Regions from separate parts of the Mus musculus genome. Here region 2 is reported to be linked to region 1. The links are microRNA targets in miRTarBase. Many come from high-throughput screens and were not tested one by one. Region 1 holds a microRNA gene; the other region holds the end of a gene's coding sequence.
What was found. The annotated mature microRNA mmu-miR-28b reads AGGAGCUCACAAUCUAUUUAG and lies in region 1 at 2,523-2,543, shown strand. An mRNA with a match to its seed (bases 2 to 7 or 8) in the 3' UTR can be bound and repressed. Matches are read on the target gene's strand: a 7mer-m8 pairs with bases 2 to 8, a 7mer-A1 pairs with bases 2 to 7 and ends in A, and an 8mer does both.

Region 2: the mRNA of Prss43 is a reported target of mmu-miR-28b. Seed matches in the 3' UTR shown: 8mer at 858-865.

Annotation. Positions count from the first base shown.
Region 1 is chr8:73,014,001-73,018,395 of GRCm38, forward strand. It overlaps Mir28b (microRNA 28b), which reads left to right and starts at 2,512; the gene lies at 2,512-2,591. The region is part of intron 6 of Large1 (LARGE xylosyl- and glucuronyltransferase 1); the gene reads right to left.
Region 2 is chr9:110,830,604-110,834,998 of GRCm38, forward strand. It overlaps Prss43 (protease, serine 43), which reads left to right. Exons shown (of 6, transcript NM_199471.1): 6 at 179-904. The coding sequence ends at 415. Prss45 (protease, serine 45) reads left to right here and starts at 3,985. Exons shown (of 6, transcript NM_153172.1): 1 at 3,985-4,136. The coding sequence starts at 4,031.

The sequences.
Region 1 (4,395 bases):
AAACCAAAATATTTTAGGCCATCCTGTTTGGAAAACCAAATCGTAAGGACAAATTAATGGCAGCAGAGTGACCATCTGAAGACAGTGGCAGCTATTGTTTTGCTCTGAGAACAAAACTGAATGAAGTGCAGCACGAAGGGTGTCACCCAGAGGTGAAAATTGTCACTTAGAGTACTGTGGTGGCTACATCTATTATAAAGCTATAATTTCTCTCTTTAAAAATAGATTATTGTACTAGTCAGGATTCTGAGCCTTCAAATATAACAGTGCAAGCATTTATCGTTTGTCAATCAATTGTCAGGTACAACAATTGAGGTACAACAGGCAGGACCTGGACCCAGCAGGCACTAGGGAAAATGAGGAAGCAGGTAACAGTATCTTCCATGGAGTACTTGTATATGAATCACAAAGATCTGAAGCAAGCATTCCAAACCAAAAAAGAAAACTGAGTATAGTGGCATATGTGTATAATTCCAGCATTTTCAAGGGGGAGACAGATCAGCTACAGTTATAATTGCAGGCTAGCCTGGGAAGCATGAGATCTTGCCTAAAAAAAACAAAAACAAACAAACAAAAAAAAAACCAACCCAAAGTTACCTGTCTTTCCTTACGTACATCCACAAAGAAACCGAACTTTCTTTTGGGGCAGATGTTTAATTAGACATGGAAAGCCACTATGGAAAGAGCTGAGAGAGAGAGAGAGAGAGAGAGAGAGAGAGAGAGAGAGAGAGAGAGAGAGAGAGAGAGAGAGAGAGAAAGAGAGAGAGAGAGAGAGAGAGAGAGAGAGAGAGAGAGAAAGAGATAGATATGGGGGAAAATGAATCCATGGCAGTGACTTTTTTAATACTCAGTTCTGTCCTTGCAGCTTGTTTGAGGGAGGGTGGCTCTTGCTTCTGCTATATAGTATGCTCCAGGCTAGCTGGCTTTCAAGCTTCTTGGCGATTCTGTGTCTGCCTCTCACCTCCCTTGTAGTACTGCTGGGATGTACTCAACCACAGGTAGCATTTTTACCTGAGCTCTGGAGACTGAACTCAGGTCTCAGTGGCCCAGAATGTTAGTTTCTTGCTGCTGTTGTAACAGATGACTCTCTGGCTAGAAAATATACAAGGGTATTCTGCAACAGTTTGGCAGACTAGGAGCATGACATCTGTCTTGCTGTGCTGGTGTCAGGGTATTGCATAGCTGGTTCTTCTGGAGATGAGGGAAGAATCCATCCCATGCTGTCTTTTACTTCCAAGTGCAGCTTCCACCTGCATTTCTTGGCTTATGGCTCCTTGCTCTGTCTTATATTATGTTACCCCAGTTGAACTGCTTGTCAAATCACTGCTTCTCTATAGCCAAATTTCCTTCCACTTCCCTGTCAAAGGACACTCTTTGTATTAGGATTTACATGGTCTGTTCTTCATGATCTGTAACTGAGTCACACCGGCTATCTTTTGGAGCATGGCTTAGGATGAGGATATTCCTGGGGTAGGGGATGCTCAACCTAGTATATGACTGAGAGAAAGATGAAGGAAGGTGTGCAGAACTCAATCCTGCTTTTGAAAGGTTTTTAGCCTCCTACACACCTAATTACAATGAACAGTGAGCTTTAGCTACATCCTCAGAAAACTGCCATAAATATACTCTCCATTTCCTAGGAATTTCCTTCACAAACTCTTACCTAGACTTTAAAGCCCCTTTAAGTGTCTCACATTTGTGCTTCTCCTATGCCTTCACCTTGGCAAACTCGGTACAAAAGAGAGTGAATATCTCTGTCTCCCTATTTCTGCATCCATACATTTCCTTGAGAGATAAGTTTTGTCCTTTGTATGTTGTCTTTCAGATCCACCAATTGGCTTGAAGCCATGTTAAAAAACAAAACAATAACAAAACAAAACAATAACAAAACAAAAAAATAACAAAAGAGGATGTGGAAGGGGGAAGTGGAAGTGGTTCATTGGGCCTGAGTTCAAATCCCAGTACCCATGTAAATAGCTCAGTGTGGCTGCACATGTACCTAAAATCTCAACATTGTAGAATACAGACACAGAAAGACTGTTTGGGTCTTGCTGGTCACTAGCATAGCTCCAGGTTCACTGACAGACCCTGTCTTAAAGGCATAAGGTAAAGAGTGGGAGAGCATGACAAGTCAGGTAACAGGCTCTTTTATAGGCACACACACAGAGAGAGGGGTTGGGCAGGGATGGAAGGAAGGAGGGAGGGAGGGCAGGAGAGAAAATGAAAATGAAAACAATAGCATTTTTAAAGGTAGACTGTCTAATCTTTGCTGCAGTGCAATGGTTTTTAAAACAGAGAAATGAACCACATCGACCCCAACTATGCCCATGCTGAGTATTATACAAAATGTTGGCAATACTGAGATCAAGAATTCACTCATTTGGAAAGAATAGCAAATGCCACATACAGCACTCCTTGGCACCAGCCACTGTGCTTGACTGTGCTGTACACCCCTGCTCTTTTAAGTTAAGATCAGCCAAACAAGATCTTGCTGGCTCTTCTGGTCACATGGACTATAGAAAAGGAGCTCACAATCTATTTAGTGGCAGGCGCACACTGCCAGAATGTGTGAGGCATCTTAATAGTGTGCTGATGACACTGTTTTGGAAAGGAAGGTTTGTAACACTTGGAGGTGGGGGGTAAAAACAACTTAGGGAGTCTAGAAAAGCATTTTACACAGAATATTCCAAGCAAAGTAGGAAAGGACAACAAGAGTTCATTGGAGGCAGGATGTTGTTTAATTGCACATATTGTATAGAAAATAGTGCAGGTATGTACAGATGTATAGAGATGTATAGAGATGTATAGATGTATAGAGAGGGATGAATGTTGATGCTTACTTCACTGTCTCTTTGTTTAGTCCAGGACCACAGCTCATATTCAGATTGGCTCTTCCCTGATCTTTTAAGACGTTCTGATAACATCCTCATATACTATCACAGGAGTTGTCATGGTGATTTTAAAACCTATCAAGACTACAGAGAACATTAACCATTCTGTAAATAAAGCAAAAGGAATTTCTTGCTTTGGGACTCAGTCCACCAAGTACGAAAAGCATCAATGGGCCTGCATCTACACTTCAGGTTAGAAAGTCAGGTTGGCAATGGAACCAGGACAGTTCTTTTAATAAGAGACCTGGTGTAAAAAGTTCCCTGTGCCCCAGGTATCTGTGCTTCACACTCATCTGTCAACAACCGTGATGTTCTTTCGTTAAAGGAGCCAGTGGGCCAAGATGGATGGGCTCAGTGGGGGAAATGGCCTTCTCCAATACATCTTGTTATATAGACCATGGCAAGCCTGACTAACATATGTAGAAATATCCTTTAAATCATTCTGGATGAGATTTCTTATGGATTCTCAATCAAAGTCATCCAAACTAAAAACATTGTAATTAAAACTCCAGGCTCTTAAGGTTTGTCCTCTGGATGACCTAGAATAAATCCACAAAGCTGTGATGGCCGACCTTGTGAACTCAGACACTAGCTAGGGTTTGAGGAGACGTTCAGCTGCTTCTTGAGAAATGGACCAGGTGTCAGGGGGATGGGCACAGTCCCTTTAACTCTGGAGAGGAACATACAAAACAGAAAGTCAGCAAACAGTAACATCTCCTGCCATGGCTCTCTCTTCTCATGGATATTTTCAGAGAAGTTAACAAATAACCACATGCCAACTATACTAATGAGTCAAGGAGTGCAATTGCTGAGAAAATGGCATTTCTCCTTTTTTAGCAAGAGCAACATAGCCAGGCAAACCTCCATGCTGTGGCTAGGGTGCCAAGTGTCTGGGCTTTGCCAGTTAAAAACTTGAATCAGTACATATGCTAGCTTCTGCCTGGCTGTGGTTACGTGATCCCATGACCAGTCCAGCCTTGACCTTTTCTTCTATTTATGATATTGATTGGATTTTGATCACTGTTTGAGCTCTTAACACAAAGTAAACAGCATCTTTCCCACAGAGGCAAGGGTTCCAGGATTTTAATCCTGTCTCCAAACACTTCTCCCAAATGTTACTCTGCCTCTCTGTTTCCATAGACAAGTAAGCAAGGAGCAATGTCTTTTTCCACATAGCAAAGAGTAGCCCCAGGTCAGTTACCTGATCACAGTCGTTCTCAACTCTGGCCTCACATTACAACCATCTTGTTATGTTTGTCAAATATGGCCAGGGGCTGGGAAGCTAGTTCTGTTAATTAAAATCATTGTCCTACAAGCACAGTGATCTGACTTGGATCCTCAGAACCCACCTAAAACAAACTTACAAAACCAACCAACCAAAAATCCCCCAGACACAGTGGTAATCAGGAATTCTACAACTGAGGTGGTATACAAGGGTGGACCGGTATGGCTCCCTGGATAGCCAGCTTAAACTAAGTTCTAGGGCAATGAAAATCTGTTTCCA
Region 2 (4,395 bases), not on the chromosome of region 1:
TCGTTGCCTAGAGAATGTTGATGTTTTCATAGGAGATTTTCATCTGTTAGATCTCAGTCATTAAAAGAAGCTAGGCCTGGGAGAGGCTCTGGGTGCCCAAGAAAGTGTCCCAGCACCTTGCAATGCAGTCTGCTCTCTCTTCCATCCCAGCCATTGGTTTCTTCCTCTTGTTTTCCAGGGAGATTCTGGGAACCCCCTTGTCTGCGAATCTGACAACACGTGGACCCAGGTGGGGATCATGAGCTGGGGCATCAACTGCAATGGAGTCCCTGTCCTCTCAGTTTACACAGACATCGCTGAGTACAATGAGTGGGTCAGCTATGTCTTAAGTCAGGCTTCCCGTATGGATCCCATGGGAGTCTTGGTCCTATACCTGTCTCTGGTGTTTCCCTTGGCCCTCCTGGTAGCTCTGTGACCTCCTTAGGCCCTGTCTTCCTGAGAGTTTTGAGTCTCCCACTGTGCCTTTTCTCCATTTTCCCTTTCTGTCTTTCTGCCCTTTCTTCAAATTCCAGTTAGCAGCTATTGCCACAGTAGACTGTGGCAGGGAGATTGGGGGCTGCAAAGTGCTCTGACTGGTGTTCTGGTTACTTGCCTCATGATACACCCACACTTGGTGGACTAACCTGGACTAGAGGGCCAGCTTGCCTGCTAGGTGGAGAACCATGACTCCATGATCTTGGGGACATCTGCCAAGAAGAGATAATATCACCTGGCTCTGTTTACATCACACAGCTTAGTGACCACTGAAAGAGAGGGAGAACAACCGGGTGTGGTGGCACACACCTGTAATCCCAGCTCTCGGGAGGCAGAGGCAGGCGGATTTCTGAGTTTGAGGCCAGTCTAAAAATCTAAAAAGTGAGCTCCAGGACAGCCAGGGCTACACAGAGAAACCCTATCTCAAAAAAGAAAAAAAAAAAAAAAAAAGAAAAGAAAAAGAGAGAAAAGAGAGAGAGATGGAGAACGAGAGGGTTGGAGGAAGGGAACACTGGCAACTCCCTACAGAGGTATGAGGTTGGCACTTAAGTATTTGGGAGCTGGCAGAAATTATCTTGTACCCACTTGGGAATCTGCCAGGGAATGCATAGCCTCTGCCTCATAGGCTTCACAAGAAGGCAGTCCTGCCTGGCCCCCTTCCTCAGTACCTCAGTGGTCACATCCAGGGTCATCCCAAGTTGCGTTGAGGTTCTGGAGAGGGGAGATCTCAAACGTAAACTGAATAAATGTTTGGAGAACGTCCTGTGTGTTGTGAAGCTCTGCTCACCTGGGGTGTTTGGCTTAGAGAACTGGACCCCATTTACCTAGGGAAGTACTCGCAGTTCCTCTTAGAGACAGAAGAGCTGAGTCCTGCTCCCTGTGTGCCTGGGCAGGAACTTTTGCTGGGCTTCACTACTTTTACAGCCAGCCAGGAGCAGCTCAGGGGAGGCAGGAACTGGGGTGGGGGTGGGGGCGGGAGGGCCCGCAGGGATGAAACTGATTCATGAGAAAAAGTCTTTCTTCTGGTTATTAATGTGACTTTATTTTCAAAGGCCGTGTTCCCAAAGTCAGGAGGATTTTAAGAAAGATTCACTACACTGTATGCAGCTCTTCTACCTCACACTGGGTTTTGGTATCCCTGACTGAATACTGATTTGCTCACAGGTCTCCTCCAATCTCCCTCTCCCACTTTCGTCTTTCTGGGGTCTCTGTTTCATCCTCTGTCCTCTATGGCTTTTGTGGGCATTCAGTTCCAACCGTTGCCCAAGGAAGGATGAACCCATCCTCCACCCCCAGTTTTGTTTGTTTGTTTGTTTGTTTTTTGAGATGGGATATCATTATGGGGTCCCTGGCTGTCCTGGAATTAGTGCTGGGATTAAAGGTGTGTGCCTCCACACCCTGCTGTCAGACGCATCTCTGTCATGAACACATACATCACCAAAGATGTTTTTAAAAAAATTATCACTGGACATTGACCTGCTGAGGTAGTGTTTGCCTGTATCTCCATCATCTGAAAGATGGAGGCGAGGACAATCAGTTGTTCCTTTGCTACAGATGGAGTTTGAGGCTAACCTGGGATACAGGAAGTGCTGTGTCAAAACAACAACAAAAACCCAAACCACCTCCACTCTCCAGAAACCGCCAGCTCTTCGTAGACTAACAATTTTAATTTTGCTCACTGTAGCGCGTTATTCTATGTGGACAGGTAGCTCTCCCCCATTTTATAGTCCCACTCTTAGCCTCATGGTCCACCCTTCACCTGTGTGAGCATACGCTGAGAGTTTGTTAAAATCCACATTGCTGCCAGGAGTGATGGGACACATTTGTAATCCTAGCACTTGGGAGGCAGGGGTGGGAGGATTAGCACAAGTTCAAAGCCAGCCAAGACTACACAGAAATGGACCTTGTCTTACGGTTTTATTGCTGTGAAGAGACACTATGACCAAGGCAACTCTTACAAAGGAAAACATTTAATTGGGGCTGGCTTACAGCGTCAGAGGTTTAGTCTGTTACCACCAAGGCGGGAAGCATGGCAGTGGGCAGGCAGGCATGGTGCTATAGGAACGGTGAGTTCTACATCTTGATCCACAGGCAGCTGAAAGAGACTCTAGTTGGCAGGCAGCCAGGAGGATGCTCTGATTCCACCCTGGGCGGAGCTTGAGCACAGGAGACCTCAAAGCCCGCCCACACAGTGATGCATTTCCTCCAACAAGGCCACACCTCCTAAGTGCCACTCTCCATGGTCAAACATTGAAACACCTGAATCTATGGGGGTGAGGGGGGAGGCAAATCTATTCAAACCACCATAGACCCTGTCATAAAAAATTAAACAAACAAACAAACAAACAAACAAATCCATATCATTGGTCTCACTAAGGGAGTTTTCAACTTCAACTCTGGAAGTCTTGGCCAGGGCCTGAGGATGAAGATTTCTAGCAAGTTCCCAGGCGTTGCTGGTCCAGCTGTATGGAGGAGGCCTAACGTTGGGAACCACACAGCGGCAGAAGGCAACCTTCTCTTGCTTGCCTCGATATGCGATTGGCACCGTTTACTTATTCAGATTCATTTAAACGCCAGGCTGGGGGCCTGGAGAGTTGGCTCAGGGATTAAGATCTTCTACAGGGCCCACATTTGATTCACACAAACCCACATGGTGGCTTCTAACTCCAACTCTATTGGATCTGATGCCGCCTTCTGGCTTCTGTGGGCATCAGGCACATACTGTGGTGCACAGACAGTCATACAGATAAAATACTCATACACATAAAAATAAAATGTAAACGAACAGGCTGGGTGATGGGGTCCCCAGAGCTCTGTTGGACACCTGGAATAAACAAAGGAAACAGAGGAATTTTGATGATCGCTTCCCAGTCTCTGCTAGGCTCAGTAAATCCACAAAGATCATCCTTTTGTGACAAGCTCTCTTTATGCCCAAAGCCAGGCAACAAAACAAAACAAAAAGAAACAAACAAAACCAACAACAACAACAAAAACTAGCCAGTATTTGTCAGTGGTAACATCCTGTCATATTGCTGGTCCTTGGAAGAGGACAGCTGCCTTCTTTATTCAGCACCCTGCTCCTATCTTGATTTAGTCTTAGATCCAGTTCAGCTATTACGTTCTCAAAACCGTTTTTCCTAACCATATTGTTATTTGCTTTCTTGGGCTTTCCCGGTCCTTGTTAATAGTGACCGTGAAACTCCTTGTGCAACAGGCTGAGAACAAGGTATACCCTGAGGCTGGATGGGCATCAAGATGCCAATCCCAGCCCAGGGATCTTTGACCAGTTAGGCTCCAGATGCACCGCCAGGATCTTAGAGCACTAGGGGTGCTGTCATAGATCTGGAATCTAAGACCCAGTCCCAGTCAAGGGATCTGAAGTCATATTAAGGACGAGAGTGGGTCCAGATGCCAGAACTCAAAGGACCTGAAGAGGCACGGTCAGGCTCTTGGCGCCAGGTCAGTCATGTGTCGAAGACGCCATCGCGTACTGGGATGTGGGCACGTGACAGCACGCCGCAGCTATCTCTGCTGCCCTTAGGGACAATATTCATGTATGGCTACGTCATTGCGCGGCCTGGACGCTGGGCCTGGATCCTTGAGGCGCTGGATCCTAATCTGCTTTGCGGCGCTACTGTTGCTGCCTCCGCGGCCAAACTTAGGTCAGGCAGGCACCTCCTTCTCCATTGTCCTTTCTTTCTGTGTCCTCTCCCCTCCAGTCTTGCTCAGGTTGGCTATTCCTTTCCTTTCCGCCACCTGAAACTTCTGTGTGCCATCCCCACCTCGCTGTCGCCTCTCTTCTGCCACTCCTAGGTTCCTCAGGCCACTGCTGTGTCGTGCTGTAGCCTCCTGGAGACAACAGGCTCGGAGATGCTCGGAGCATCCCTGGCCTCCCTTCACGCACAGGCGCCTCCCGCTTTC